Callithrix jacchus: one gene and its partners. The protein of the gene in region 1 interacts with the protein of each later gene in a pairwise test. Links are inferred from orthologs where the notes say so. Each region holds a gene or a part of one and is shown in the gene's direction. Other genes may lie near its edges. The genes, in order: CLK2, PRPF38A, SNIP1, YTHDC1, ECE1, RNPS1 and LUZP4.

Region 1 (3,945 bases):
ACAGGTCACTGCAGCCTCAACCTCCCTAGGTTCAGTGATCCTCCCACCTCAGCCTTCCAAGTAGCTGGGACTACAGGTGGGAGACACCATGACTGGCTAATTTTGTTGTTGTTGTTTTTGAGACACAGTCTTACTCTGTCATCTAGGCTGGAGTGCAATGGCACCGTCTTGGCTCACTGCAACTTCCACCTCCCAGGTCCAGCAATTCTCATGCCTCAGCCTCCTGAGTAGCTGGGATTACAGCCACCGGCCACCACACCCAGCTAATTTTGGTATTTTTAGTAGAGACAGGGTTTCGCTATGTTGGCCAGGCTGTCTTGAACTCTTGTGCTCAAGTGATCTACCTGTCTCGGCCTCCCTAAGTGTTGGGATCACAGGCATGAGCCACCGCACTCTACCTAAATTTTGTATTTTTTGTAGAGTCTGGGTTTCACCCTGTTGCCCAGTCTGGTCTCAAACTTCTGTGTTCAAGTGTTCCACCATCTCTACAAGAAAAAATGTTTTTAAAAATTAGCCGGGCGCGGTAACACGCGCCTGTAGCAAACTCATATTTCTTACACATTATGTAAGCCACCTTAGGATACAGTTCTCAAGTGAGTCCCCCTTTTCGGCACACAATTCTCCATCCCTTCATTGCTCAAATCTTTCCTCCATGGCTTTGTCCCCACCCCCAGTGGTGCATAACTTTTGTTGATGACAAAAGGTGGCAAACTTCTGTCCTGGGGATAGGTAGGTCAAGTTTTAAGAAATGGTTATTTTCAGGCTATGCAGGAGAATGAGACTTCACCATCAAGCCTCACTAGAGTCAAGCTTGATGGTGAAGCCCGCCTGGAGCCAGGCTAGCAGCGACACTGTAAATGACAATCCTTTCTTTTAAACTCCAAACCTAACTAAGCCACGCGTCTCCATGCAAAGGGTAAAAGACTGAAGAGGGGGTGGGAAAGGATATGAGACGGAACGTAGCGGGCCTAGAAGGCTTCCAGCGCGTCCCAGTGGACCCTTCTTGCCCCTGAGAACTTCTGCCCCCAGTATCTCAGGGGTTCTGACAGACCGACGCCTGCCAGCTACGTGAGCACGTGGTGGCGCGCGCGGTGCTGGGGGCGGAGCCCAGCGGGTATCTGGGAAGCGACGCAGGACGTGCGTCCGTGCGTACGTGCTCGCTCTCGGCGGCGGCGGCGGAGCGGAGAGGCCAGAGCCGGAGACCGAGCTGGGATCGGGCCCCGGGCGGGGGCGGTGCGAGCGGCGCCAAGCAGATCTTAGGGGCGGGGACGGAGCCGGGGCGGGCGGGACTGAAGCGGAGCCCGGGAACGGGGCGGGAGGTCCCAGGGTCCCGGGTTGGGGGGGTGGAGCAGCACTTCGTCGCCGCGGTGGTGCCGGGACTCCGGCCGCAGTGCCGCCGCCATCACGGACTTCCTGTGGGACAAGCGCACGGGCCTCGCCGCCAGAACGGTGAGCGCGCGGGCTGGCTGGCCGCGGGGCCCGGCGAAAAGATGGCGACCGCGGGGCGGGCGGGGTTAGGCTTGGATTGGGGGCAAGGGACGGGGGCGAGATTTGGAGAGGAGGAGAGTTGAGACCTATGAAGGGGCAGAGTAGGGAGATGAGGAGGAAGGAGGTCGGCCTGCCTGGGATGTACGGAGAAGACCTATAGGAAACTTGGGCGGAGCCAGAGTAGAAGGGGTGATAAAGTAAGGATAAGAGTGGTTCCAGAGCTGTGAAGGAGCAGAATATCAAAGTTGGACTCAGGAGTCCAGTCAAAGCTGAAGGGGAGGAACCATGTCACTTGCAGCATGCAGGAAGAATTTGCCTGTAGGAGTTCTGGATTTTCTGAGTAAGGAAAAAGCAAACGATTTCGAACTTGAGAAAGGTAGGCTAGAGATTCTTTGAGGGTAAAGTACTGTGAGGCCATTTGATGGTAGTGTGTGGTGAGATGGCATTTATGTGACTATGCTAATTAGAATGGATTACCTGGGAATATACTGTGCTTGCCTCTTAGTATTTTACCGGCCCCAGTTACGCCAATAATGCATCAAATGCCACCCTCCTCAATTTGGGGAGGTTGGGAAGATAGGATGCAGAATGGGAGTCAGACATTGGAATCATTAAACCTTTTGCATACCCGATTCTCATGCACCCGCCCCCCCAACCCAGACTTCTGTCCCTGAGCCTGTTTCGTTTTACTCTGCCTTCCTATTCTCATCTTCCTGGATTGTGACAGTGATTTTTCTCTTTTTTCCTTGAAGGAAAAAAAGATTTGTGAACCATTCCATTAACTGGAAGGTGGCCAGCTCTCAGCCAAATAGGGCTGATATTAATTAAAAACCAGTTATTGTCTACGTCTTAAGAACAAGAGTGGAGGGGCCAGATGGGATGCTGACGGTAGTTGGTGGCCTACTGCATTAAAAGCTCTCAAGGGAGAGTCGACCAAAGATGTGAGAGATGATTAAGTTACTTCAAGGGGCCCGACCCAGATCCCTGGAACTGATAGTATTTGACATTTACCTGGTATATGTAGAAACCTGGGAGACTGGATTTCTACCCTCAGGACACTGATAGTTTACTTGGGGAGATAAGAGGTACTCTTAATGACTGTACAACATTGATCATAACTGTAAACCAAAGCTTTATTCTACTGGCTTGTGAGAAACTCAGCATCACACAAATCTGTATCTTAGATCCTGACCAGGGAGGAACTGTGGCAGTCTCCATCGGTCATCATACACTTTCCCCTGTAATGAACTGTGTGTCCTAGACCTGAAAGTCTTCATGGAGCTGTGTCTGGAGAAAATAAGGATAGAACACTTGAGCTGAGTGGGGGGTAATGAGGGATGCGTTTGGGGGCTTACTAGAGTTTCAGCCAGAGTTAGTAGGTGGCTGCACTCCAATAAGGAGGAATTGTAAGTCCAGAGGAAGACTGAGGAAGTTGTGCCTGGTAAAAAGAGGCAGAAATAAAAAAGCAGATCCATGCTGTAGCTTGGCCTTAAGAAAAAAGAGAGTCAAAAATGAAATTAAAAAAAAAAAAAAAGGAGAAAGCGGCTTAGCGTCTTTGGAGCAGCCACTCCTTGGAGGAGACTTCTGAAAACTCAGAACTTTCCTGTTTCCACTTTCCCTTCCTTTCCAGATGCCTCATCCTCGAAGGTACCATTCCTCAGAGCGAGGCAGCCGGGGGAGTTACCGTGAACACTATCGGAGCCGAAAGCATAAGCGACGAAGAAGTCGCTCCTGGTCAAGTAGTAGTGACCGCACACGACGGCGCCGGCGAGAGGATAGCTACCATGTCCGTTCTCGAAGGTGAGGCCTCAGGAAGAGAAACTCAAACACAGGGTCACTGGCTCGTTCATTTGTTCAGCAAATACTTACTGGTTGTATGCTGAAACCATTAAGTAGGTGGCTAACGGTAACGTCAGGATAGATAACCCAAGAAGCCATTTGTGCTGCAGTGTTAAGTGTTCCAATACATAGTGAGGAACTGAGGATGGAACCAGTGGGTTTGGTTAGAATGGGGCAGGCTGAGAAAACATTGCAGAGAAAGTGACATCTGCTTATGTCTGGAGGACAAGTAGGAGTGGGGTGGGGAAGTGTCTTGGCAGAGGGAAAGCATGTGCAAAGGACTGGGAGCTACAGGTAACTAATAAGCTAACAGATAAGACATTAGATCTTTGTGGTTTCAATGTTTTATTTTTTTGATAGACTTTTTTTTTCTTAAACTATACTTTTACGTTCTGGGGTATATGTGCAGAACATGCAGCTTTGTTACATAGGTATATATGTGCCATGGTGGTTTGCTGTATCCATCACCCCTGTTATGTACTTTAGGTATTTCTCCCTAATGTTATCCCTCCACCCCCATTTTATAAAATTTTTAAATATTATTTATTTATTTTTGAGACAGTCTTATTCTGTTGCCCAGGCTGGAGTGCAGTGGCGTGATCTCAGCTCACTGCAAGA
Region 2 (3,658 bases), on another chromosome or scaffold:
CTAAGTACCTGGAACTACAGGCACATGCCACCACGTCTGGCTGATTTTTGTATTTTTTTGTAGAGATGGGGTTTCACCATGTCTACAAAACATACACACACACACACACTCACTCACTCACACTCTCTCTCTCCGCTCCTGTTCCTATATAGCTCATAAGTTTTGTTAGTTAATAGGGTAAGTGCTTCCCTCTTTGTAATCAGATCACTGTGCTTTAAAGTCACTTGGAGATGGACTTTGGGACAAGATGTGGAGCAAAGTATAATTAGTGTTTCTAGTGGCTCCTTATGAGCTTGTGCCTATCAATGACCCAGCCATCTTGTTTCCAGTTGGAAAGAGTGCCATCACCTGATCACCGTCGGAGAAGCTACCGAGACTTGGACAAGCCCCGTCGCTCTCCCACACTGCGCTACAGAAGGAGTAGGAGTCGGTCTCCCAGAAGGTAAAGCCTTAGTCGTTGGCCTTTTCCCAGGAGATTTTGAGCACTATAGCCTAGAAGTTTGGATTTTAGAGAAGGAAAAATGACAGCCTATGGAGAATGTTTGCCCAGTATATTAGTTATCTGTTATTGTAACAACCACCTATAAAACCTCATTGGCAGACAACAATAACCATTTGTTTTGTTCAGAAGTCTGTGGTCAGTAATTTAAGCAGAGCTTGGATAGGCAGTTTTTTAAGTACCTGTTTTGTTGTTAGCTGTTTGCTGGCTACTATGGGATCGCCTTTGCTAGGATGACAGGGGAAGTTTCCCTTCTCTGTATCATCCTCCAGCAGGATAAGATGGGCATCTTTTCATGGTACTGGCAGAACTAAAGAGCAAATAAACCCAGTCATGCAGATATTTTTCTTGTATCTGCTTTTATCACGTTTGCAAATATCCCATTAGTCAAAGCAAGTCATGTGTCCAGTCCTAAAGTTAGAATGGGAGTGTGCTAGTGTTACATGACAAAAGACATGGATACAGAGAAGGGTGATACAGAGAAGGGTGAAGAATAAAATTGGGGCCGTTTTTGCAATCTGCAACATCCAGTGCACCAACCTAGGCTTTCTTTTTCCTCTCTTTATAGGCGAAGCCGATCTCCCAAAAGGAGAAGGTAGGCCTTCGGTCATTTTGATGAAGGACAGGGCTTTCGGGAGTGGGGGTGGTATTGGTTGGTGTTTTATGTATATTGCTAACCAGATCTGGTAGTTTGACCAGTCTTTTCTACAGCCCCTCCCCCCGTCGAGAAAGGCATCGAAGCAAGAGTCCAAGACGTCACCGCAGCAGGTCCCGAGATCGGCGGCACAGATCCCGTTCTAAGTCCCCAGGTAGAGCATTTGGGCCTTTTGCCACAGGTTCTCTTAACAAAGAAACATAAAAGGAGCAGTTAGCCTTCTGCAGTACAGGGTGCCTGACTGAACTGCGTAGCAGAAAAGGAAATGGACATAGAATCTGAAAATAAAGGTTCACAGCTTGTCACTTTTATAAGCCTTGCTGATAAGGTTTGCTTCTGTTTTTTCATCTGAAATTACAAGAATAAGATCTAACATAATAATAGAAACCCAATATGATGTTTGTGAAGTCAGCCATAAAGCCCTTGAATGAATGTATTTGTATTTGAACTGGTTTCGTTAGTACTTTCTTTGCTCCCTCTTCCTTCACTAATTCAGAGAGTTGCTACCACTAAGAGGTGTCCCCTGCATAGGCCAAAAAAAATATCAAGCCAACGGCAGACATTAGGGAGGTGAGAATGGGAGTTTAATAAGAATTGAAGGGTAGGATCTCATACAGTGGCCTTTTCTTCCCCAGGTCATCACCGTAGTCACAGACACAGGAGCCACTCCAAGTCTCCTGAAAGGTAATGAATTGACCTCTATTTTAACTTTATTCAGAAATAAAAGTCCCAATTATAACTAATCGGACCTGAAATTTTGTTTTGTTGGGGCATATTAGGAATTCTCCTTAATTACAAGATAAAATTGGTCTATTGCTTTGAAAATTACTGGGGCTAGAGACCCTTTTTCTTTGATACGGTTTCGCATTTATAGTTTTTTCTTATAAAGTTTCTCAACCTTTATTTTTAATGAAGGACGTGCTGAGTTTTGCCCAGGCTGGAGTGCAATGGCGTGAACTTGGCTTACTGCAACCTCTGTCTCCTGGGTTCAAGCAAGATACCCGTTTTGTTTTGTTTTGCTTTACAGGATTGCAGCTTTGGATAATGGATGAACTTTGGTCTTAGAAGACACGGAGTTTAGTCCCAGCTTTTAAAACTTAACAGTTGAGTGACCTTGGAAGAGTCACTTTCATTTAATAAGATTTCATTAGAAACCCCCATGTGCCACATACTGTTGGGTGCACTCTTAACCTCTGAGACGTGATTTCCTCAATGGTAAAATTTGGATAGTAACCCCTGATTCAAGAGTGTTGCTCTGAATCAAAAAAATACCAAGCAGTTTAATGAATATGGAGTGTTAGCTCCTTCCCCATTAGTGTCAGCATGCCAAGGTCCTTCTCAGAAGTCCCTGCCCAGATCCTTAATGTAATTATTTATATGTGTTTCCATTTCAGGTCTAAGAAGAGCCACAAGAAGAGCCGGAGAGGGAATGAGTAATGGACTCGGTTTGGTTGTAGTCCACATGGCCTCCTGTGGATATGAGGGTATCTGTCTATGTGGAAGGCTTAAGAACTCCCCAGGCAGCTACAAGAATATTTTAGTTTTTTTCTTATAAAGTTTCTCAACCTTTATTTTTAATGAAGGAGGTGCTGAGTTTTGTATCTCTTTTTAATCATCATTAACATCAGTTTTTGACCGAACTAACCTTGACTGTATTCAAACTTATGAGGGTGGAAAGGATCTGTAGGTTGAAGATACGAATGACAAGGAAAGGATGTGGCCACCTGATGACCCTTCTCCTTTTTATTAAACCAGACACATCTGTTTCCCATTTCTCTGTCATTTAGTTTTTGGTTTGCTGTAGTTAGAACTACTTTGAGAATCCTGGGATTTGTGCTGCTGCTATTATTCAAAGATATGAGTAAAACATAGTAGCTCCTAACTTTTTTCCAGCAGCAGCAAATGGTGATACACATGAAAACTGGTTAACAGTTTTGAAAGAACAGAATGCATTCAAATGTTAGGCTTCTGGATCATTAAAGCCAGTTTCATTGAACAGTTCAACAGAGTGGTACTTAATACCCTTTATACAGCCCATTTTTTCATAGTTCCATTGGTTCTTGCCCACAAACTTGAAATCCAGGTTAAGCTATCCAGCCTTTGTCATATAAGCATTGACATTATCCAGGACTACTCGGTAGCAGTAGGTAACAGGATTGAAAAAGATTTGATGGAGAGGAAAGTATCTAATACTAGTCATGGTTTTGATCTAAATTGCTAGACAAGAGTGCCATTTACAAAGTAGAAAATATAGCAGAAAGAGAAGCTTTTAGGGGGCAGAGTATTAGAGGATTGTGCTAGTAATGAAAGGGATGCATTCAATTTAACAAGTTTGAGACAGCTATGGTATAGCTAAAAAAAAAAAAAAAAAGCCCATAAAGTTGGAGATAGGCCAGAATTGACAATATTTTAAGTAATTGTGGAATCTGTCAATAAGACTGCACAGAGAGTGTTTATATCAGAAAAGCACATGAGAACCATAGACAACACTGGTGACAAGAAGT
Region 3 (4,063 bases), on another chromosome or scaffold:
AGCTCTTTTGACAGTATAAGGGTCTCTGGTCAGGTGTGATTACATTATTGGGAGGAGAAGAAAGAAACAATTATTCCTTTTGGTAGTCTGGATATTAGACAGATAAAGTCCTGTGCTTTGGGAGAGACGGTGGATTCAAGGAAGGAACATCGAGGCTTCTTCAGTTCAGCAAGTCAATGTGCCTTATTTTGGGGTTTCAGTTTCTGAGCCCCAACAGCATTGCAGAAAGTTTATTAAACAGAAGAGGAAACGCTAATGATTTGACCATGGGTTCTCATCTCTGATTGCATTTCCATTTCTTTCTCCCTTCTATTTCCAAATGTAAATGTAATTACAGTTTGTGCACAATTTTGTATCCTGCTTTATCGTTAACATGTTTTAGAGTTTGTAAATGGTTTACTAATGGCCACATAACACCCATTAATTTGGCTAACTTCCCTATTGCTGAGCATTTACATTGTTTTCACGTTTTGTAATTACTAATAACGTGGCAACAAACAGCCTTGAGAAGTTTGCTTTTTTCCAGGTTTTTTTTTTTTTTTTGTGATGTCTCTGTCACCCAGGCTGAAGTGCTGTGGTGCAATCCCCGCACGCTGCAACCTACGCCTCCTGGGTTCAAGCGATTCTCTTGCCTCAGCCTCCTAAATAGCTGGGATTATAGGTTTGCACCACCATACCAGGCTAATTTTTGTATTTTTAGTAGAGACAGGGTTTCACCGTGTTGGCCAGGCTGGTCTCGAACCCCCGACCTCAAGTGATCCGCCTGCCTCAGCCTACGAAAGTGCTGGCGTGAGCCACCACGCCCAGCCCTGCTCTTTTTTTTTTTTTTTTTTGAGACGGTTTCGTTCTTGTAGCCCAGACTGGAGTGCGGTGACGCAATCAGCTCACTGCAACTGCAACCTCCGCCTCCCGGGTGCATGCGATTCTCCTGCCTCAGCCTCCCGAGTAGCTGGGATTACAGGCGCACGCCCCCATGCCCAGCTAATTGTTTTGTATCATTAGTAGAGACGGGGTTTCACCGTGTTGGCGAGGATGCTCGCCTGACCTCAGGTGATCCGCCAGCCTCGGCCTCCCAAAGTGCTGGGATTACAGACGTGAGCCCCCGCGCCAGGCCAGAAGTTTGTTTTTGAAACCCGAAACTCCTGCCACCAAACCTAGTCACTGACCACGCTCACTGGGGAGTCGTCACCTGTTTAATCTCTCTGCCGCGAAGATATATGGGAACCGGGGCACCCCGGAAGCGGAAATCCAGGAGTCAAACACGTCATTTCCTTCAGCTAGAGGAGCTCAACGGATCTGTTTTCTTTCGCTCAGGCAAAATCACAGAATGAAGGCGGTGAAGAGCGAACGGGAGCGAGGGAGCCGGCGAAGACACCGGGACGTGGATGTGGTGCTGCCGGCGACGGTGGTGGTGAAGCAGGAGCGTCTCAGCCCGGAAGCCGCCCCTCCCGCCCACCGTCGTCCGGACCACTCCGGCGGTAGCCCTTCCCCGCCGGCCAGCGAGCCGAGCCGCCCGGGCCACCGCGGGAACCGAGCCCGAGGAGTTAGCCGGTAAGTGGGGGAGCAGCCCAGGATGGACCTAGGGTTGGGCTCATTCAGAAAGGCGGGCAGGGCTAGCGTCCGAAACGGGTTTTGAATGCTGGGCGCAGCTAGCCCGGACCTAATCCAGAGGCGGTTGAGAGTGATCCAGTCGTGCCTGTGTTATGCTTGCTCAGTCACTTGCATGATAGCTCGGTGTTCAACGCCTAATGCCTAACTGGCAGGATCCCGTCCCTCCATTCTTGTGTCCCCAGCACTTTGCAAAGTGTGGCTCAGCAGGTAGCACAGATAATCTGTTAAATTGGAATGAGATTCTCCTCATCCCGAATGGAGGAATGGAGTGCGGGCGTTGTCTTTACAATTACCTGCCCAAAAAGTTTTCACGTCGACAGAAACTAAAAAAAAAAGTTCACATAGATTTATGCGTTCCTTCAGCGTAGTTTTACTGAGTGCCTGTTAAGTGTTAAAAGACTGCCCTAGGTTTTGGGGCTGCAAGGGTGATTCAGTTAGATGGTCTTCACCGTTTCCAAATCTAGCCCTGAGACAGACAATAACAAGAAATAAATAAAGTGGGTTTCAGTTAGTAACAAGTATTATTGACAGGTTAAAACAGTACTGTGATAGTGAGAGATTGGAGAGAAGAGGGAGGAGGCCTCTAAAGAGGTGCCATTTGAACTGCGACCTGACTGATAGGAATGATCCAGCCTCTGAAAGATCCAGGCAGAGGAAACAACATGTGCAAAGCACTTGAAGTAGAATGAATCATGATTGAAATGGGAAAAAGCCAGTGTCAGTGGAGTATAGTGGTCAAGCAGGTGGGTGGTAGGAATGAGATGGTATAGGCAGGAAGCAGAACCACAGGATGGATAAATTGTTATTGATGGTAGGGGTGTTGGTAGTGAGGGGTAAAGAGTCAAAGGTGACTTCTGGATGGTGATGCCAATTAACAAGATGGCAAAGAGTAGGAGAGGAAAGGTTTTTGAAGGCTTGGGAACTAAGAGCTATGTTATCTAAGTGAGAAGGTTCAGTAGAGAGTTGTCTTTGTGAGTGTGGAATGCGAGGGAGATGTTAGGGCTAGGAAAGTGAACCTCGTGACTATAATGTGTCTGTCAGAGACCTTCACAAATGTGGTGTTTGTGTTAGTATGTAAGCCTGATACTGGAAGCTAATTTTTATGGGGGAAGGGAAATTGAGTAAAATCCTGTATGTACCATGCTTTGTATAGGTCCCCACCCAAAAAGAAAAACAAGTCCTCAGGGAGAAGAAGCAAGTCTCCTCGGAGTAAGAGGACCCGAAGTCCTCACCACTCAACAGTCAAAGTGAAGCAGGTAAGTGGATTGGGGTGTTTTGATGTTGGGGCCACATAGAGAGCCTTTTCCTATCATAGCTAGAGAGGGCTGTGTATGTGTGTTGTGTGTGTGTGTGCACGCACACTCGCCTACATTTCTACTTGTACTTCCAATGGGCTTTTCTGAAAATTGGGTATATTTCTTTTTTTCTGCTTGTTTGCTGAAATTCACCTTTTTATTTTGAGATTATTGTTGGTTCACATGCAGTTGTCAGAAATAATTCAGAGAGATATACTCTGCCTGGTTTCTCCCAGTGGTAACATCTATTCATAACAGAACTGTGGTACAGCATCACCATCAGAATATTGACATCAGTATAGTCAAGATAACATTTCCTTCACCACAAGGAATACCTCCTGTTCTCCTTTTGTAGCCACACCCACTCATCTCCCACCTTTATCATTCTTTAACTTCTGGCAACTTCTAATCTGTTCTTCATTTCTGTAATGTTTTCATTTCAAGAATATTACATAAATGGAATCATACAATGTGTAACCTAATTTAGGATTGTCTTTTTTTCACTCAGCAGAATCCTTCAGAGATTGATTCAGGTTGCATCTCTCAGTAGTTTGTTCCATTTTATTTCTGAGTGATATCCAATAGCATGGATTTAGCCACTCACTCATTAAAGAACATCTGGCTTGTTTCCATTTTTTGGCTATTACACATAAAGCTGCTATATAGACATTTGTGTATAGGATTATATGCGAACATAAGAGTTCATTTCTCTGGGATAAATGCTCAGAAGTGCAATTGCTGGATTGTATGGTAGTTGCAGGTTTAATTTTTTTAAGCAATTACCAGACTGTTTTCCAGAGTGGCTGTATTAGTTTACTAGGGCCACCATAATGAAATGCCATAGAGTACGTGGTTTAAACAACAGAAATTCATTTTCTTGTAATTCTGGAGGCTAGAAGTCAAAGATGAGGATGTTAGCAGGTCTGGATTCTCCTGAAAAACATCCTCTCTCCTTGGCTTGTAGATGGCTACCTTTTTACTACATCTTCACATGATCTTTCTCCTGTCCTGGTGTCTTTTCTCAGCCATATTGAATTAGGGCCCTACGCTCATTTTAACTTAATCAGCTCTGTAAAGACCTCATCTCCAAATACGGCTATTAATACATTCTGAGGTACTTGCGTTTGGTACTTCAACAAGCTAATTTTGGAGGGCAC
Region 4 (4,294 bases), on another chromosome or scaffold:
ATAAAAAATCTTTCAAAAAACATACCCTATTACAACTAATAATACAAATAGCAATTCCTCAGGATCATCAGCTATTCAGTATTTAGCGCGCACGCGCTTGTGTGTGATATATCCAAATTAGTGTTCAATTAAAGTCCTAGAAACGGGCCAGTCCTGGTGGCTCCACACCTATAATCCCAGCACTTTGGGAGGGCTGCTGGAGCCCAGGAGTTCAAGACCAGCCTGGGCAACATGACTAACCCCATCTCCACAAAAAATGCAAAAAATGTGCCGGGTGTGCTGGAGCATACTTGTAGTTCCAGCTAGCCGGGAGGCTAAGGTGGGAGGATCACTTGAGCCCAAGGTTGCAGTGAGCCATCATCATCATACTGCAATCAAGCCGTGGTGAGACCAAGTCTCAAAAAAAAAAAAAAAAAAAAAAAAGGTACCACGTTCTACATTTACCTTTCTCTGAACAAGCTATTAGTTGTCAGTTTGTCTTCATATCACGAGGTTACCTTTTTTCACATTTTTCTTTCCGTTATAACTTAGTTATAGTGCAGTGAAGCAAAATCAGATTTTCTTACGTTGGACAATGATTCTTAGGCAAGTTTCTCTTACAGATTTACTACACTATGTAGTTATGTATTTATTGGTCACTTCCGTAGTTTCAATTCCTCAATGGTCTACTTAAATCAATTGTTTGCCCCAGGGCCTTGATACATGTTCAAATTTGTTGTTAATTACAAAGATGTATTGGATATAATTCTTTCCACAATTAAAACCAAAACTAGGCCGTAGGCGTGGTTCACTCTGTAACCCCAGCACTTTGGGAGGCAGAGGAGGGCGGATCACGATGTCAAGAGATAAAGATCATCCTGGCCAACACGACGTCTCTACTAAAAATATAAAAATTAGCCGAGTGCATTTGCGTGTGCCTGTAGTCCCAGCTACTTGGGAGGCTGAGACAGGAGAATCGCTTGAACCCAGGAGGCGGAGGTTGCAGTGAGCCGAGATCCTGCCACTGCACTCCAGCCAGGGCAACAGAGCGAGACTCCATCTCAAATACACAAAACAAAACAAAAAACTAGTAGGCGTTTGCAACTACAAATGAACAGGTTGCACGCAGCACTGCTTTTGGGTAACCCAAAGTTGGGACCCCAACTAAGAAAATACCACGGGTAAATTCGCCCAGACTGTTTCTAAATAAGATGCCAATTTCCTGAACTGAATCAGAAGTACTCTAGAGCGACTCTAGCTAAGGCCTGTCAGGTCCTCCACTAGGGGTTTCCCGTAAGAAAACTGCCCAATCTGGGTAAAGGCAGCATAGCAGAAACTCCACAAACAACCTGGGAAACCTAATCTCTGCATAAGACTCCTTCCAGGTACAAGTGAGCTGAGGGCAGCAAGGCGACGTGCTGACGTCATGTCACGTTCTCTTGGACGTCCCGCCTCCCCGCCCCTCTCCGCACTGTGACGTTGCCAGAGAGGAACGAAGCGTAAACAGCGCAGGGCATTTCGGGAGCGGGATTGTTTCTCGCAGGAAGCAGGCTCCATTTTAGCGCCGCCCGCCGTCGCCATCTGTTTCCCTTCCCTCCCCCATACCCTCGCCCGTATCTGAGCCCTAACGAGAAGGCTGGCCCTAGGCCTCTGGAGGCTGGAGTGAAAGGAAGGAAGGGAGAAAGGGAGTAAGCGGGAAGAGTCGAGAAGGGTGAGTGTTAGGAGGCCAGGTGCGAGGCGCGCAGCCGGGCGGACGGACCGACGGACCGGCCCGTGCCTCTGCTGCCGCGGCTGCGGCGTCCGCGCGAGTCGCGTCTAAGCGGCGGCGGCGGCAGCGGCGGAAACCGGAGGGGAGCAATGGCGGCCGACAGTCGGGAGGAGAAAGGTTAGTGCGGAGAAAGGTGACGGGCGGAGGCGGGGCTGGGGCTCGGGAGCGGGGTGATGGAGCGGTGGTCTTCGTTGAGGGGAGGGGCGGGAGTGGGGGGTGGGGTTGGTAAGGTTAGCTTGCCTCTCGAGGAGCCGGTCGACCCCACCGACACACTGGGACTTACTGACGGAGACCAGGCCTGCCCTTTCGTCCTCGGTCTCCATATGGCCTAGCACTTCATCTCGCGTAGGGTTTTTCTTTCATCCGGATTTCACGCTTGACTTTCCGTTTAGCTGTCCTGGGCGCGGCTGAGAGGGGGCCTTTCTGAGTTGCAGGCTCCTAGTTTTATTTCCTGGTAGGATCATGGGGATGTAATGCGTATTTTCAGGACAGCTATTTCTGTTAGGCTAAAATTTGAAAACCCCTAATGCCGCGATCAACACTTGTAGTGTGGTAAGTGAGCATGTTTAAGATTAAAGTGGCGCTGGCAGATTATACATCTCGAGAAATAGCTGCAGGTAACTTCTGACTGTTCCTGTGAAATAAGCAAAGTGAATTACCCGTTTTGTTCCTCGAATACTTATTTTGGTAAAACATCGTACTTGGAAAAACGGATACTACTTAGTTTGGAAAGATAACCATGTGACTTAGGCTGGCACAGAAATCCTGGGTTTATGCTAAAAAAACGTGTGTAGCTCCCAGAGGTTACAATCAGAAACAAATGGGTTCAAGTTATAGAGAGTTGGAGGGGTAAATTTTAGTGAAATGTAGTGAGAACTGATGTTGCTAAAATGGAGAGATATACTGAGCTCCCAAGCCCTAGATGTTAATGTAGGTCGTGGATCAATATCTGTTTGGAGAGTGATCTAGATTAAATGCTACTTTAAGATCTTTTTCAACCCTAAGATTAACATAATAGTCTTGGGAAGATCATAGTTAAAAATATGACCACAGTCACTTTTCTGTATCGCACAGATCTCTTCCGTGTGGCTAATCGATTTGGGAGATTCGTGTGGGGGTTTGTTAAGTGCGCTTTAGAGTCAAGTTACATTAGGCCTGTGATCCTTTTTCTTAATTTTTCTGGTTTCTACATCAGGAGAGTCTTCACGCTTCAGTGAACTGCCCTAGGATAGGGACAAGCTTGGGAAGTGGAGTGGGTGGGAATATGTTTAAAAAATCTCCCTTGGCTTTTTTTTTTTTTTTTTTTTTTTAAGAAATCCAGAAGGAATGTGAACTTAGGGTTGCATGGTGTTAGTGAGTAAAGGAAACTGCTTTTAATTAGGTAGCTCAGTTATTAAAATAGATTATCTTGATTAGTATTCAGCAAACATCTGATTGTCTTTATAATTTACGAGTTGTTGATACTGGAGTCTGTAGTGGTTTTAATAGGAGAAATGAACCAAACACAAAAGTGAGTAACATTCAGTACTTCTCAAGAATTCATTGTCTAAAATGAAAATATTTACAAGTCATTCATAGGGTAGACCTAGTAATGCACATTGGAGAAGAAAAGTAGATGATTTTAAAAGTTTTGCTTTGGAAATGATTTAGTGATGATAGTGCAATACAAATACATAAACTCTATAGCAGCTATAATTGGGAAGTAGTAATGTCACCTATTGGCAATATATGGGATACATTTCCCCACTTTTGATAAGGTGTTTTGCCTCACATTTGCTTTTTATTTTTTTATTTAGAATTTTTTATTTAAAAACTTTTATATAGGTCCTTTACAGTTTAGAACAAAGATTGTTTCTGGGCTACATGAAGAACTAGCACATACCTACTGAAATTGTTTATTTCGTTTTGGGAGAGTTCTATATAACCTACAGGTCGTATCATTTACTTGATCAACATACAGCTAGCTTTATAGTTAGAGTTAGAATCAATACTTGGCTCTTCCTGTCTTAAAGAAAAGTGGGACTGGAAGTACTTTATTGTCTTACATGAAATAGGAAATTATAAGGATAAACCCTATAAAAATCTCAGTCTGTCACAAATGTTAAGTTCCTTCTCAAATGATTCCATTATTACAGAACAGTCAAAAGCCTTGGTGATAGAGTTCTTCAGTTACGAGGTTTTTGAGCCTGATCTGGGTAATAAAGACATTAATTTCTATAATCATTCAATAATAATGCTTCTATAATACTCAATACTTACAAGCTGAAGCCTATGTAACTGGACAGATTGCTAGCTCCCTGTGATTCCTGTGGTGATTATTTGCCTAAGAAACTGGATTTGAAAGGGGCCATTAATGAGTAAAGTAAGGGTTACTTTGAACACTGGCACTGCCATATCTGCATAGTTGATCTACCCGAGACAGTTACTAAATGACTAATGGCAGGTAGCATATGCAGTGCAGATAAATGTTGACCAGAGGGACGATTGGCTTCCCAGGCAGGATGGAGTGGGATGGTACGTAATTTCATCACACTACTTAGGACAGCG
Region 5 (3,500 bases), on another chromosome or scaffold:
AACAGCTTTGGGTTCTAATCCCAGCTGTCCCCATTCAGCTGGGTGATGAGAAGCCAGGGTCTTACCTCTCTGGACCTCAGTTTCCTCACTCATAAAAAGAGAATTAACAAGGCAGCTCGAGTGGGATTGCGAGGGTTGAATGAGCTAAGGATGTCCGTGCTTCTGGGAAGTGTGAGCTGTGGCTGTGTCATCCTGTTCCTGACCCCAGTGATGTGGGGGCTCTGCAGAGAGCCCAGCTGGGTGCTCACTGGATGCCTGCAAGTCCAAACATCCTGTTCTCTTTTGAACTCCTCACTGGAGAAACAGTGAAAAACTGTAGTTTTTTTCCTTCCACTCATATCAAGTGACACAAAAAAACACAAGCCTATCTGGGCCGAGCTGCTTGACTCTCGATGTTTGGGAGCAGATCTGAGCAGCTAAGCCGGGTGGCGGTTCCTTTCCTGGAGTAGGGCTGAGTCTGTGGGAACCAGACCACCCCTGAGACAGGAGGTGGCCCTGATGCCTCCCCAGGGCCTGGGCTTGCAGCGAAGCCCCTTAGTCCTGGGGAAGTGGGGCCGGGGGCTCACATCTTCCCCGCCCCTCCTGCCTTCTTCCCTGCAGGTGAACTTCCACAGCCCTGGGAGTGGCCAGAGGTGCTGGGCTGCACGGACCCAGGTGGAGAAGCGGCTGGTGGTGCTGGTGGCACTTCTGGCGGCAGGACTGGTGGCCTGCTTGGCAGCACTGGGCATCCAGTACCAGACAAGTAGGTGCCTCTGTGTTACATGGTGGGCTTGACTGACTCCTGCCCCGGCTCTGTCTACTTGGGCAAGGGAGGCTTCCCTGCTTAAGCCGGGACAGGCCTCTGAGGCCAAGGAGGGAGCTGGTCCCGGGGCGTCTGGGTGCTGAGATGGGCCAAGACCTGGGAAGTGGGCAGTATGGGTGGTATAAAGGTCTCTCACTTGAGTCCACATTCGAGCAACGTACTGGCTGTGTGACCTTGGACAAGTCACTTACTCTCTCAGCCCATGACAGTGCCTAATTGGGGGAAGGCTCTGCAACTATAGATAACTTATGCCACGTAGCTGGACTTCTTCAGCGTCAGCTCTGGGTGCTGTTGCTGCTGGGATGTGGGGTAATTACACAACATAGGCTGACACCGTCTGCCGTCTTTAGTTCCAATAAAGTAACAGTAGTGCCCTCTGTTTACTGAATTTGTTCCTCAGACCAAATACCTCACCCCTCGCTTCTCATTTCCTCCTCGAGACAGCCCTGTGAGGTGGGGTTACTTTTGGCCCCCTTTCCATTATTAGGAAACTGAGGCACTGAGGTGGAGTGACTTGCTCAAGGTTACGTGGCTAATGGGGGATTGAGTGGGCACTTGAATTCGGAGGTTGGAATTCACCCACAGGCTACTGGGCTCCAGCCCGGGCTCCACCTCCCTTTGTAGTCCTGGTATGCTCCAGAGCGCATTAGCACCCCCTGGAGAGCTGCCCTTCCGGGATCCAGCTGCCCTTTGTGTTCCTTGGTAGGTGCCTTTGTCTGTCTCACTTTGAAAGGTGATACAGTCGCGCCCCACTGATCCTGCTGTAGAGGCTGAGACTGGTTCTCTGTGTCCAACTGAGCTGATCCAGCCAGGTGCCTCACACAGAGTTGATGCTCAGTGAACACTTACAAAGTTGGAAAGGCTGGATCCAAGTTAGAAAGGAGGATAGGGAGTTAGCCAACTCCAGGATCTCTCAGTCCCGTGTGCCCCAGCATCTGTTTTTCTGATGGCAGATGGTTCACCTGGTTGAGCAGCCTCTGGGGCCTCTTCTCAGCATACACCCACTGACTCAGTCACTCACCTCATGAGAGAGATTAGGAGCATTCAGGGGATCTGGAAACCTCCCCTCCATGCTGTGTTGAACCTTCCCTGCTCTGAAGTTGCTGGCCCTCGAGGGTGGCCACAGTGTGCTGGGGTGGGGAGGGGACTTGGGGGCCTAGAAAAGAGCAGGCCCCCATGGATGAGTTGTTCTTCCATCTCTCCTGGGTTAGGCACATAGGTATTCACTCATTCCACAAACATAGGTTGTACTTAAGAACTAATTGCTTGATTAGTTAACTGACTATCTAATGGTTTATAGGTGTTTTACCAAATGTGCCTGGCTCAGCAGGTGCTTACTGCATATTTGATTAATTAATGACTCGTTTTCAGGCCCTTAACCACGTGTGCTTAGCATAGTGCCTATGCCATAGGTGTGCAGGTAGTAAAATGAATAATGTTTGAATGAACAAAGGGGTAAGAAGGAAGATCAAGCTGGAAACAGTCTTTTTCTGCTGAGTGTGTGTGTTGTGTGATTGTGTCCTGGTGTGTGTGTGTGTGTCTCCTCTACCAACAGGACATAAGCTCATTATCTTCTCCTGCCACTATCTTCTCGCCTCATCCTGAATCGGCTGTAGTTCAGAACCGCCTGCTGGTCAGTGTGGGCCCTGGCCAGCTCCATCTGCACAGCTCTTGTCTCAGAGCAGCAGGAGCAGGTCAGACTCAGGCAGCCAGTGTTGCCCTGAGACTGTCCCTGGGAGTCCCCAAGATATGTCTTCACTGGAAACTCGGAGGTAGTCCCCAAGGGCCAGCTCCTGATGATCAGACCCAAAACATTTCTATTGTTATTGCCTGGTGGGGCCCCTTGGGAGGAATCCTGCTTCTGCCTCTGTTGTGTCACTCTCAGGGTCTCAGAAAGGTTTTCTGCAGCCTGGACCTGGGAGAGGAACATTCTTCCCCTGGAGTAGAGCTGGCCAGAGGATCAGGTGACCTCTGAGCCACCTGGGAAAGCAGTGGCCACCCCAGATATTGACAGTAACCTCGTTACCCAGGAACAGATGCCCATGCTGGCCACGTCTGAGCAAACATCCAGCCAGTCAAAGCAAATCTGGCCGGGTGCGGTGGCTCATGCCTGTAATCTTAGCACTTTGGGAGGCTGAGGTAGGCGGACCAGCTGAGGTCAAGAGTTTGAGACCAGCCTAACCAATATGGCAAAACCCTGTCTCTACTAAAAATACAAAAGTTAGCCAGGCATGGTGGTGCACATCTGGGAGGCTGAGGCAGGAGAGTTGCTTGAATCTGGGAGGTGGAGATTGCAGTGAGCCAAGATCACACCACTATACTCCAGCCTGGGCGACAGAGCAAGACTGTTTAAAATAAAATAGAATAAAAATGCAAATCTTCTGATGATTGTGAAAGGCTAGCCTCTGGGAATGTCTGGGCACTTAGTACATTTTTACTTACCTTTCTACTGCACTTCCCCTTCCGGAAACATGCTGCTGCTTTGCAAACAGAGGCAGCAAAACAAACAATACATTTTCCAAGAAGATATTTTAAAGGAAGCATCCTACACAGTTTTGAGACCAGGAACTCTCCAGATGAGTGTGTGTAAATTAAATCTAGGATCTGTTCCTGACTTCTTATTGATCGTGCATGTCCCAAAGGGAAGAAATGTTTGCTGCCTCTGCAGGTGGTAAACAAGTGTTGAATAAGGTCTTTC
Region 6 (3,694 bases), on another chromosome or scaffold:
AGCTAAAAACCAAGGGGATCCGGGTATCTTATAGGTGGGCATGACTATAGACATTCCAGCTTTTCTTAAGATTCTGCTAGGATTTTTGTGTGTGTCCCCGTACTGTCATTGAATGGAGTGAGTCCACGCTGTGTCCAAGAGAAAATGAGCAGGGGTTGGCCTTCACTGGTAGCTAGACAGAAGACAGATTTTTCTTCATTCTAGAGTCAGTGCTGTGAAATCCCTAATTTGGGCTAACTTAGGCTGAGTTTATTGAAGTTAAACCTCTTAAGTATGTTCTGAATATGTATCTACGTGCCCAAGTTAGTACCCCATGCACTTTGAAGGTGCCTTGAAGGTGGGAACTGAGAAGACAAAAGAGCCCTTCACCCTTTAGGGCACAGAAGGGGCTGCGCTTGGGTTCCTGGTATCCCCAGCTACCGGACAGTTCTTGAGGTTGGGACACATGCTGCCCTGGGGTTCCTGGGTTTGCACCTCCGTTTCCTTTCCTCTCTCCCTGGAGCCCTTCTCCTCACTTCTTGCCACCCCATTGCAGCACATGACCTGTGTTTCAGTGCCGTTCACATTCAGAGAGCCGCCTCTCAGACTGCTTGTTTCCAAACACAGTTTCACAGTTCGTGAAACTTCCTTCATGCTGCTCCCCACTGGAGTCCCACCTCTCCACGAATGGAAGCTCATCTTGACTGTCCCTCACCACCTCATCCCGTCCACCAAGCTTGGCAACTTCACTTCCCAGTTAGCCCTGAATCCTTTCCCTTTCCTACCATTTCATTTGATGATGATTCATGCCCCTCAGTTGATTCATGCCACAGAGCCCTGCTACCAGGTCTCCCCTTCTCCTGGCCCCTTTGTAGGAGAAGGTAGCGCAAAGGTAGATAGCACCTGCAATGCCCTGCGAGGAGGCCCCACCCTGACCCTCCTTCCTTCTGCCTGTCACTTGCTCTCGCTGCTGCCTTCTCTCACAGCACTGTGGGTCCTTCACAGCGCAGGGCAAGGCATATATCCCTTCTCTTCCACCTAGTGGATTTCAGCACTTTTTCTTCCTTTTTTTTGAGACAAACTCTCTCACTCTGTTACCCAGGCTGGAGTGCAGTGGTGTGATCTCAGCTCACTGCAACGTCTGCCCCAGGTTCAAGACATTCTCAGCCCCGCAAGTAGCTGCAATTACAGACGTGCACCACCACACCTCGCTAATTTTTTGAATTTTTAGTGGAGAAGGGGTTTCACCATATTGGCTGGTGTGGAACTCCTGACCTTGTGATTTGCCCGCCTCAGCCTTTCGGTGCTGGGATTACAGGGCTGAGCACTGCGCCTGACCTCCAGCACGTTCTTTAGCTCTTGGCCTGCGTCAGTTTAGATGTGGGAGGATGCCTTGACACCATCGGTGTCTCCTTTCATGTTCCCTGACGCCTTTCCTCATGACATGGTACTCATGACGTTATTTCTGTGATTAGTCATTGTCCCCCAGGCCTGTTGTTCACTGTGACATGCTTTGTGTAGGGAGATGCTTGCTAGATATTTTATGACTTGCTCTCTTTTTCAACAGGACAAATTGATGGCCAGGAGATCACTGCCACCGCTGTGCTGGCACCCTGGCCTAGACCACCCCCCAGGCGATTCAGCCCTCCCAGGAGAATGCTGCCGCCACCACCCATGTGGCGCAGGTCTCCCCCACGGATGAGGAGAAGGTAAACAAAGTGTAGTTTCAGTGAACTGATCAGGCCACAAACCTCATGTGACCGCAGTGACTTAGGGACCCTTTATTCAGCCCTGCCTGCCTTCTGCTGCTGTGTGGGTTAGGGGTAGCAGAGAGTAGTAGCCCTTCAGAGCTCATGGGGAAAGCAGGACGGGCACGGCTGCAGTGAGCAGCAGGCAGGAGAGGCCCTAGCGTGCACCAACACAACTTTCTAAGTCTGAGCAGTGACGTGGCATGACGTGGCCTTCCCAGGAGACCGTTAGACCTGTGAGCCCAGGTGCAGGCCCACTTTTTTCTGAGCTAACAAGAAGGGCTAGGAGAGGAGGAAGTTGGGTGTCAGAGGAGTTGGTGGGAGGTGGGGGTGGTAATCCCTTGCCAAAGGCCACAGTTTGGCCTTCTCTTGCCAGTCGTGAGCTATGCTTTCAGCCTTTGGGGAAGAGGAAGGAAGCCTGGGCTTCTGCCTTGGGTCTCATGAGCACCCATTCCCAAGAGCTCAGGGGCAGGCCCATCAGGTGGGACCTGTCCCAACTTCTAGTACCAAAAAGTAAAACTGTGGAGAATTGCCCAGAAAGAAGCTAGCTTGCCCTACAGTCTGAACTCCTCTGATGTGGTTTCTCCTCTTCCTGCAGATCCCGCTCCCCAAGGCGCAGGTCCCCTGTGCGTCGGCGATCACGCTCCCCAGGCCGCCGCCGCCACAGGAGCCGCTCCAGCTCCAACTCCTCCCGTTAAGCATGCCACTGGATCTCTCACCCCTGTAACTTATACCCCACCCAGCTCAGTTTTGTCACTTTTCTAGCCAAAGGAAGATCAGTAGGAAAGCAAACCCCCTCACTTGGGCAGGCATTGCAGGCAGCAGGCAGCACCCCTCTGCCGACTGGGCTCTGGCTGCAGAAGTGCCGTTGGTGTGTGTTGTGCCTGCCAAGATACCCGCCGAGTTTCTGGCTAGAAAGCTCACCCATTTTCAGTTTCTGAGAGTCAGTTCAGTGACAGAGCCACCAGGGATGAGTGAGGCTCTGGGGGAGTTGTGTGATCTGCCTGCCTGGGAGCACACATTTCCCACAGTGTCCTTTTGAAAAGGGAGCTGTCCTGGGCTTTAGCGCAGCTGCCAAGCCTGTTAGGCCTGGCCTCTCAAGGCCTCTTCTGACACAGGGTCACACAGCCCTGGAGAGCCTCTCACCCACGGTAGTCGCTGTGCATGGTTCTCTCTGTCTGCACCCATGCACACACCCCACCCCATCGCCCTACTGTGAAACTGATGAGTGAGTTGAGAGCCAGCTTTGCTGGGTCACCATGCAGCCCCCGCTGTGCCTGCCCTTCAGGTTATCTTGGCAACATGTACATTGCTTTTTTTTTTTTTTTTTTTTGCTTTTATTGTACAGTCAGTACTATAAAATTTGTTTGAGTTTTAAAACTTTGTAGCATTTTAGATGACACTGTGTTTGTACTTTGTTGTGTAGAGCGGAAGAATTGTGTTAAATAAATGCAGGAGTGGAATGCAGGTCTAGTACTGGGTTCACTGCCTTCTCACTGCTCCCTCGCCCCCTTGGTAGCTTTCTGTTACTCGTGATCCACAGTGGCACCTCCAGTGCTTTCAGGCAGGAGAACCTAGGGTTTGTGTGCTGTGGGTATTAGGTTGCCCCTATGGTGGACAAACAGGAGAATGAGGTGTTTTATTACCTTCTCTGAAGCTGGAACTTCTACCCGACCGGAAACATGAAGAGAGTGTGTGTGGGGAGGGGGGTAAATATTTCGTAGCAACGGGGTGTTGCTGTGTTGCCCCTTGGTCCTGAGTCACTGGGATTACAGGCATGTGTCGCCATGCCAGGCTTGCGTCGCCATGCCAGGCTTGCTTCCTCCTCCATCAGGGGGCCATTTCTCCACCTCAGAAATTGGTTTGGGACACAAGGAAGAATCTTAAATGCTTAACATCTTAAGAACCAAAGTTGAGACCACTGAACACTGCTTGGGACCTCACTGCCCGGTGCTCCCAGTGGTCGG
Region 7 (4,219 bases), on another chromosome or scaffold:
CCACCAACAGTGTAAAAGTGTTCCTATTTCTCCACATCCTCTCCAGCATCTGTTGTCTCCAGATTTTTTAACAATCACCATTCTAACTGGTGTGAGGTGGTATCTCAATGTGGTTTTGATTTTTATTTCTCTAATAATTAGTGATTATGAGTGTTTTTTCATGTTTGTTGGCCTCATATATGTCTTCTTTTGAAAAGTGTCTGTTCATATCCTTCACCACTTTTGGATGGGGTTATGTGTTTTTTTCTTGTAAATCTGTTACAGTTCTTTGTAGATTCCAGATATTAGCCCTTTGACAGATGGGTAGATTGCAAAAATTTTTTTCCATTCTGTTGGTTGCCGGTTCACTCTAATGATTGTTTCTTTTGCTGTACAGAAGCTCTGGAGTTTAATTAGGTCCCATTTGTCTATTTTGGCTTTTGTTGCCAATGCTTTTGGTGTTTTAGTCATGAAGTCCTTGCCTATGCCTATGTCCTGAATGGTGTTGCCTAGGTTTTCTTCTAGGGTTTTTATGCTGTTATGTCTTATGTTTAAGTCTTTAATCTATCTGGAGTTAATTCTAGTGTAAGGTGTCAGGAAGGGGTCCAGTTTCTGCTTTCTGCACTTGGCTAGCCAGTTTTCCCAATACCATTTATTAAACAGGGAATCCTTTCCCTATTGCTTGTTTTTGTCAGATTTGTCAAAGATCAGATAGTTGTAGATGTGTGGCATTGCCTCCAGGGCCTCTGTTGTGTTCCATTGGTCTATATCTCTGTTTTGGTACCAGTACTATGCTGTTTTGATTACTGTAGCCTTGTAGTATAGTTTGAAATCAGGTAGCATGATGCCTCTGGCTTTGTTCTTCTTGCTTAGGATTGTCTTGGCTAGGCGGACTCTCTTTTGGTTCCATATGAAGTTTAAGGTGGTTTTTTTCCAATTCTGTGAAGAAGGTCATTGGTAGCTTCATGGAGATAGCGTTGAATCTATAAATTACTTTGGACAGTTTGGCCATTTTCATGATATTGATTCTTCCCAACCATGAGCATGGAATGTTTCTCCATCTGTTTGTGTCCTCTCTTATTTCCTTGAGCAGTGGTTTGCAGTTCTCCTTGAAGAGGTCCTTTACATCCTTTGTTAGTTGTATTCCTAAGTATTTTATTCTCTTTGTAGCAATTGTGAATGGGAGTTTGCTCATGATTTGGCTCTCTGTTAGTCTGTTATTGGTGTATAGAAATGCTTGTGGTTTCTGCTTATTGATTTTGTATACTGAGACTGCTGAAGTTACTTATCAGTTTAAAGAGATTTGGGGCTGAGATGATAGGGTCTTTTAAATATGCAATCATGTCTGCAAATAGAGAAAATTTCACTTCCTCTTTTCCTAATTGAATACCCTTTTTTTTTTCTTGCCTCAAGTTGTATCTGTCCCCCATTCTTTAAATTATGCCATGTAAGTGCTCTCTGCCTGAGTACATAAGTACGTGCCTGACTACAAAGTAAAGTCGGATTGCTTCCTCCTAATACAATAATCTAGGTTCCTCACTTCTGTGGTGTCTCCTACTTCCATCACCACTTTCTTACTTTTGTCACTTCCTTTTTCTTCGTTAGTTTTTGATAAAATGCATGTAACTAATTGTCTATCACACTTAATCAGATAGACATTTAATGGTCTATCGCTTTACATTTAATTGCTGATTTGCATTTACTTAGCTGTGAGCTGTGCTATAATGACTCTATTGCTCTGTATTTCTATGACACTGAAATAACATTTAGTAAAATCATTTATTTAGATGATCTTCGCCACCTCCCACCCAGCTATTGCAATGTGGAAGTATTTTGCTTTTGCATAAATGAAGTTACCATAAATCCAACAGGAATTTTTCTTTCTTGTTCCAGCAAACCCTAAGATGTCTGTATTGTTTGACCTTTATTATAATTTAACAAATTCATTATTATTATGTTATCTTCTTTTAGGGTTATCAGTTTTTTGGTATTCTGAAATATGATGAGATAGGATATAGATTATTCATGTGAGACGTTGTAATTTGTTTTTTGCCATTTTATTCCTTTTTTATGTATTTTCTAATACAGATGACATTATACTCTATAAAAAGTTAGAAAAGATAAATGCTGAAATAGAAAAAAGGAATACAAGACAGATTCATAGTAAAAAGGATTTGCCTTCAAGACAACAATCAAATGGTCATGGACATCGCCATCAGAGAGGTAAATATGTTAAAAATGGTCACACATGGTAAAAAGAGTCTGAAATATTTGTGAATAACTAGGTAAGCAAAATCAAGAATTCACATTGTTCTAAAGTTACATTATGTTGCTTGTTTTATTTTTTCTAGGCATGGACCCATACAGGGTTGGTAAGAATTTATGCCATGTCATATGAATAAAAATTTATTTTAATGTATATAAGTTACTTCCCTAATGGAGAATGGGATAAGAAAATTAGCCATACGAGCTGAGAGATATTTTGTACTTGTTTACAAACCTCGGTTGGTTGGTCCAGTTCTACTTTTAGGAGGCAATACAGGAGGGTTAAGAGCATAGTCAATAATCTGAACACTATGGCATCCACATTTTGAAAATACAAATGTTGTAGGACAACAAGAGTAGGGTAGAACATGACAGATGTTCTCTGTATTCCTAACCTCATTGGTAAGTGCAGTATGTATTTTTTTAAATGAATGTGCTACAGATTGCCATAATACAAGGAGTCTTTTGAACAATTAAAGGTCTTCATAGTCTAGTCAATAGATTGAAACCATTTTGACATTGTGATTACTCTAAGCCCCTGATGGTTGCCTATGCAGCTTCATTTAAGTTCTTGTGTAAATCTTCAGTGGCTCATCATGTTCTGAAAAGAGAAGCGATGGTACTTATAATAAGGGCAGAGCAGCCAAGAAGGGTAACATGGCCCATTCTTATGTGCCTAAACAGTCATTGCAAAATTGATCTTCTTCGTGAGCCTTTTGGAGATCTATATTATTTGATGGTTTCTTAAACTGCCTTTATGCCCAAACAAAGCAGACACTTTCTCTCTATCTCTCCTTTTTCTATTGGAGTATTCTTTCAATTAATTTCAGATAGTATGTCCCAACTTTGGTGGCATATAAAACCAAAATTGAGATATATGTACTGAGACTATCCTATTAAGGTGTGCAAATTGAAATAGTATGGCAAAGACTTCTAGAATTCAGTGAGATTACCAGATTATATCAAAGTAATGAAAAATCAAAAGTTTTGCAAAACCCAGTGCATAGCTTTTAAAAAAAAATGAGATCAGAGATAATACTTCTGAAAGATGCATTGAATTTACTACTTGAAAATACAGAAAATGCTTATTGTTCAAAGGCTACTCAAGATTCAGAAGCAACTTTGAGGAAGGAAATCATGATAAAAAACCATCTCAAGAACCTTCTGGATTGAAGTCTGGACAACACCCTTTAAATAGGAAGCCTTTATTTGAGCAGGTAAACAAAAAACAAGAATTTACCAATATAAAAAGTCCTATATTTAATATATTTTTAATATTAATGATTTACTTTAAATTCTATTGAAAGCAAGGATTGTTTCTTGGTATTCCTCCAAGGTACCTTGAACATAATTTAAATTCAATGTTTGGTAGTTGATTTTTCCCCTGCAACTATTTTTTAATTTTTTTTATTATTATTGTACTTTAGGTTCTGGGGTACATGTGCAGATCATGCAGGATTGTTGCATAGGTACACACATGGCAATGTGGTTTGCTGCCTCCATCCCCCCGTCACCTACATCTGGCATTTCTCCCATGTTATTCCTCCCTGACCTCCCCACCCCTCACTGTCCCTACCTTGGCCACCCCTCAATAGACCCCAGTGTGTGATGCTCCCCTTCCTGGGTCCATGTGTTCTCATTGTTCAACACCCGCCTGTTAGTGAGAACATGCGGTGTTTGATTTTCTGTTCTTGTGTCAGTTTGCCGAGAATTATGCTTTCTAGATTCATCCATGTCCCTACAAAGGACACAAACTCTTCATTTTTTATGGCTGCGTACTATTCTGTGATGTATATGTGCCACCTTCTCATTGTCCAGTATATTGTCGCTGGGCATTTGGGTTGGTTCCAGGTCTTTGCTATTGTAAGCAGTGCTGCTGTGAACACACATGTGCATGTGTTTTTTTTTAAATAGAATGATTTATAATCCTTTGGGTATAGACCCAGTAAGGGGATTGCTGGGTCATATGGAATTT

The links.
Region 2: the proteins of CLK2 (region 1) and PRPF38A interact in binary tests that used the Homo sapiens proteins (3 or more experiments, as listed by UniProt). The link is inferred for Callithrix jacchus from reciprocal best matches to the Homo sapiens genes CLK2 and PRPF38A.
Region 3: the proteins of CLK2 (region 1) and SNIP1 interact in binary tests that used the Homo sapiens proteins (3 or more experiments, as listed by UniProt). The two-hybrid records come from large-scale screens. The link is inferred for Callithrix jacchus from reciprocal best matches to the Homo sapiens genes CLK2 and SNIP1.
Region 4: the proteins of CLK2 (region 1) and YTHDC1 interact in binary tests that used the Homo sapiens proteins (3 or more experiments, as listed by UniProt). The two-hybrid records come from large-scale screens. The link is inferred for Callithrix jacchus from reciprocal best matches to the Homo sapiens genes CLK2 and YTHDC1.
Region 5: the proteins of CLK2 (region 1) and ECE1 interact in binary tests that used the Homo sapiens proteins (3 or more experiments, as listed by UniProt). The two-hybrid records come from large-scale screens. The link is inferred for Callithrix jacchus from reciprocal best matches to the Homo sapiens genes CLK2 and ECE1.
Region 6: the proteins of CLK2 (region 1) and RNPS1 interact in binary tests that used the Homo sapiens proteins (3 or more experiments, as listed by UniProt). The two-hybrid records come from large-scale screens. The link is inferred for Callithrix jacchus from reciprocal best matches to the Homo sapiens genes CLK2 and RNPS1.
Region 7: the proteins of CLK2 (region 1) and LUZP4 interact in binary tests that used the Homo sapiens proteins (3 or more experiments, as listed by UniProt). The two-hybrid records come from large-scale screens. The link is inferred for Callithrix jacchus from reciprocal best matches to the Homo sapiens genes CLK2 and LUZP4.

The regions. Positions count from the first base shown.
Region 1 is NC_133519.1:15,701,450-15,705,394, reverse strand, and holds the start of CLK2 (dual specificity protein kinase CLK2), read left to right. Parts: upstream 1-1,145; 5' UTR 1,146-1,449; intron 1,450-2,240; 5' UTR 2,241-2,429; intron 2,430-3,118; coding exon 3,119-3,288; intron 3,289-3,945. UniProt on the Homo sapiens protein: Dual specificity kinase acting on both serine/threonine and tyrosine-containing substrates. Phosphorylates serine- and arginine-rich (SR) proteins of the spliceosomal complex.
Region 2 is NC_133508.1:89,575,020-89,578,677, reverse strand, and holds the end of PRPF38A (pre-mRNA-splicing factor 38A), read left to right. Parts: intron 1-329; coding exon 330-442; intron 443-1,067; coding exon 1,068-1,094; intron 1,095-1,189; coding exon 1,190-1,308; intron 1,309-1,789; coding exon 1,790-1,838; intron 1,839-2,548; coding exon 2,549-2,591; 3' UTR 2,592-3,158; downstream 3,159-3,658. UniProt on the Homo sapiens protein: Involved in pre-mRNA splicing as a component of the spliceosome.
Region 3 is NC_133508.1:74,105,689-74,109,751, reverse strand, and holds the start of SNIP1 (smad nuclear-interacting protein 1), read left to right. Parts: upstream 1-1,263; 5' UTR 1,264-1,327; coding exon 1,328-1,551; intron 1,552-2,764; coding exon 2,765-2,867; intron 2,868-4,063. UniProt on the Homo sapiens protein: Required for pre-mRNA splicing as component of the spliceosome. As a component of the minor spliceosome, involved in the splicing of U12-type introns in pre-mRNAs. Down-regulates NF-kappa-B signaling by competing with RELA for CREBBP/EP300 binding.
Region 4 is NC_133504.1:129,082,542-129,086,835, forward strand, and holds the start of YTHDC1 (YTH domain-containing protein 1), read left to right. Parts: upstream 1-1,494; 5' UTR 1,495-1,836; coding exon 1,837-1,864; intron 1,865-4,294. UniProt on the Homo sapiens protein: Regulator of alternative splicing that specifically recognizes and binds N6-methyladenosine (m6A)-containing RNAs.
Region 5 is NC_133508.1:58,137,503-58,141,002, reverse strand, and holds part of ECE1 (endothelin-converting enzyme 1), read left to right. Parts: intron 1-600; coding exon 601-742; intron 743-3,500. UniProt on the Homo sapiens protein: Converts big endothelin-1 to endothelin-1.
Region 6 is NC_133513.1:4,512,914-4,516,607, forward strand, and holds the end of RNPS1 (RNA-binding protein with serine-rich domain 1), read left to right. Parts: exon of another isoform or gene 1-1,525; intron 1,526-1,546; coding exon 1,547-1,688; intron 1,689-2,325; coding exon 2,326-2,425; 3' UTR 2,426-3,194; downstream 3,195-3,694. UniProt on the Homo sapiens protein: Part of pre- and post-splicing multiprotein mRNP complexes. Auxiliary component of the splicing-dependent multiprotein exon junction complex (EJC) deposited at splice junction on mRNAs.
Region 7 is NC_133524.1:111,522,001-111,526,219, forward strand, and holds the start of LUZP4 (leucine zipper protein 4), read left to right. Parts: upstream 1-1,419; coding exon 1,420-1,426; intron 1,427-2,067; coding exon 2,068-2,202; intron 2,203-3,342; coding exon 3,343-3,461; intron 3,462-4,219. UniProt on the Homo sapiens protein: Export adapter involved in mRNA nuclear export in cancer cells. Binds and enhances the RNA-binding activity of the nuclear RNA export factor NXF1. Can restore mRNA export function in cells compromised by loss of mRNA export adapters.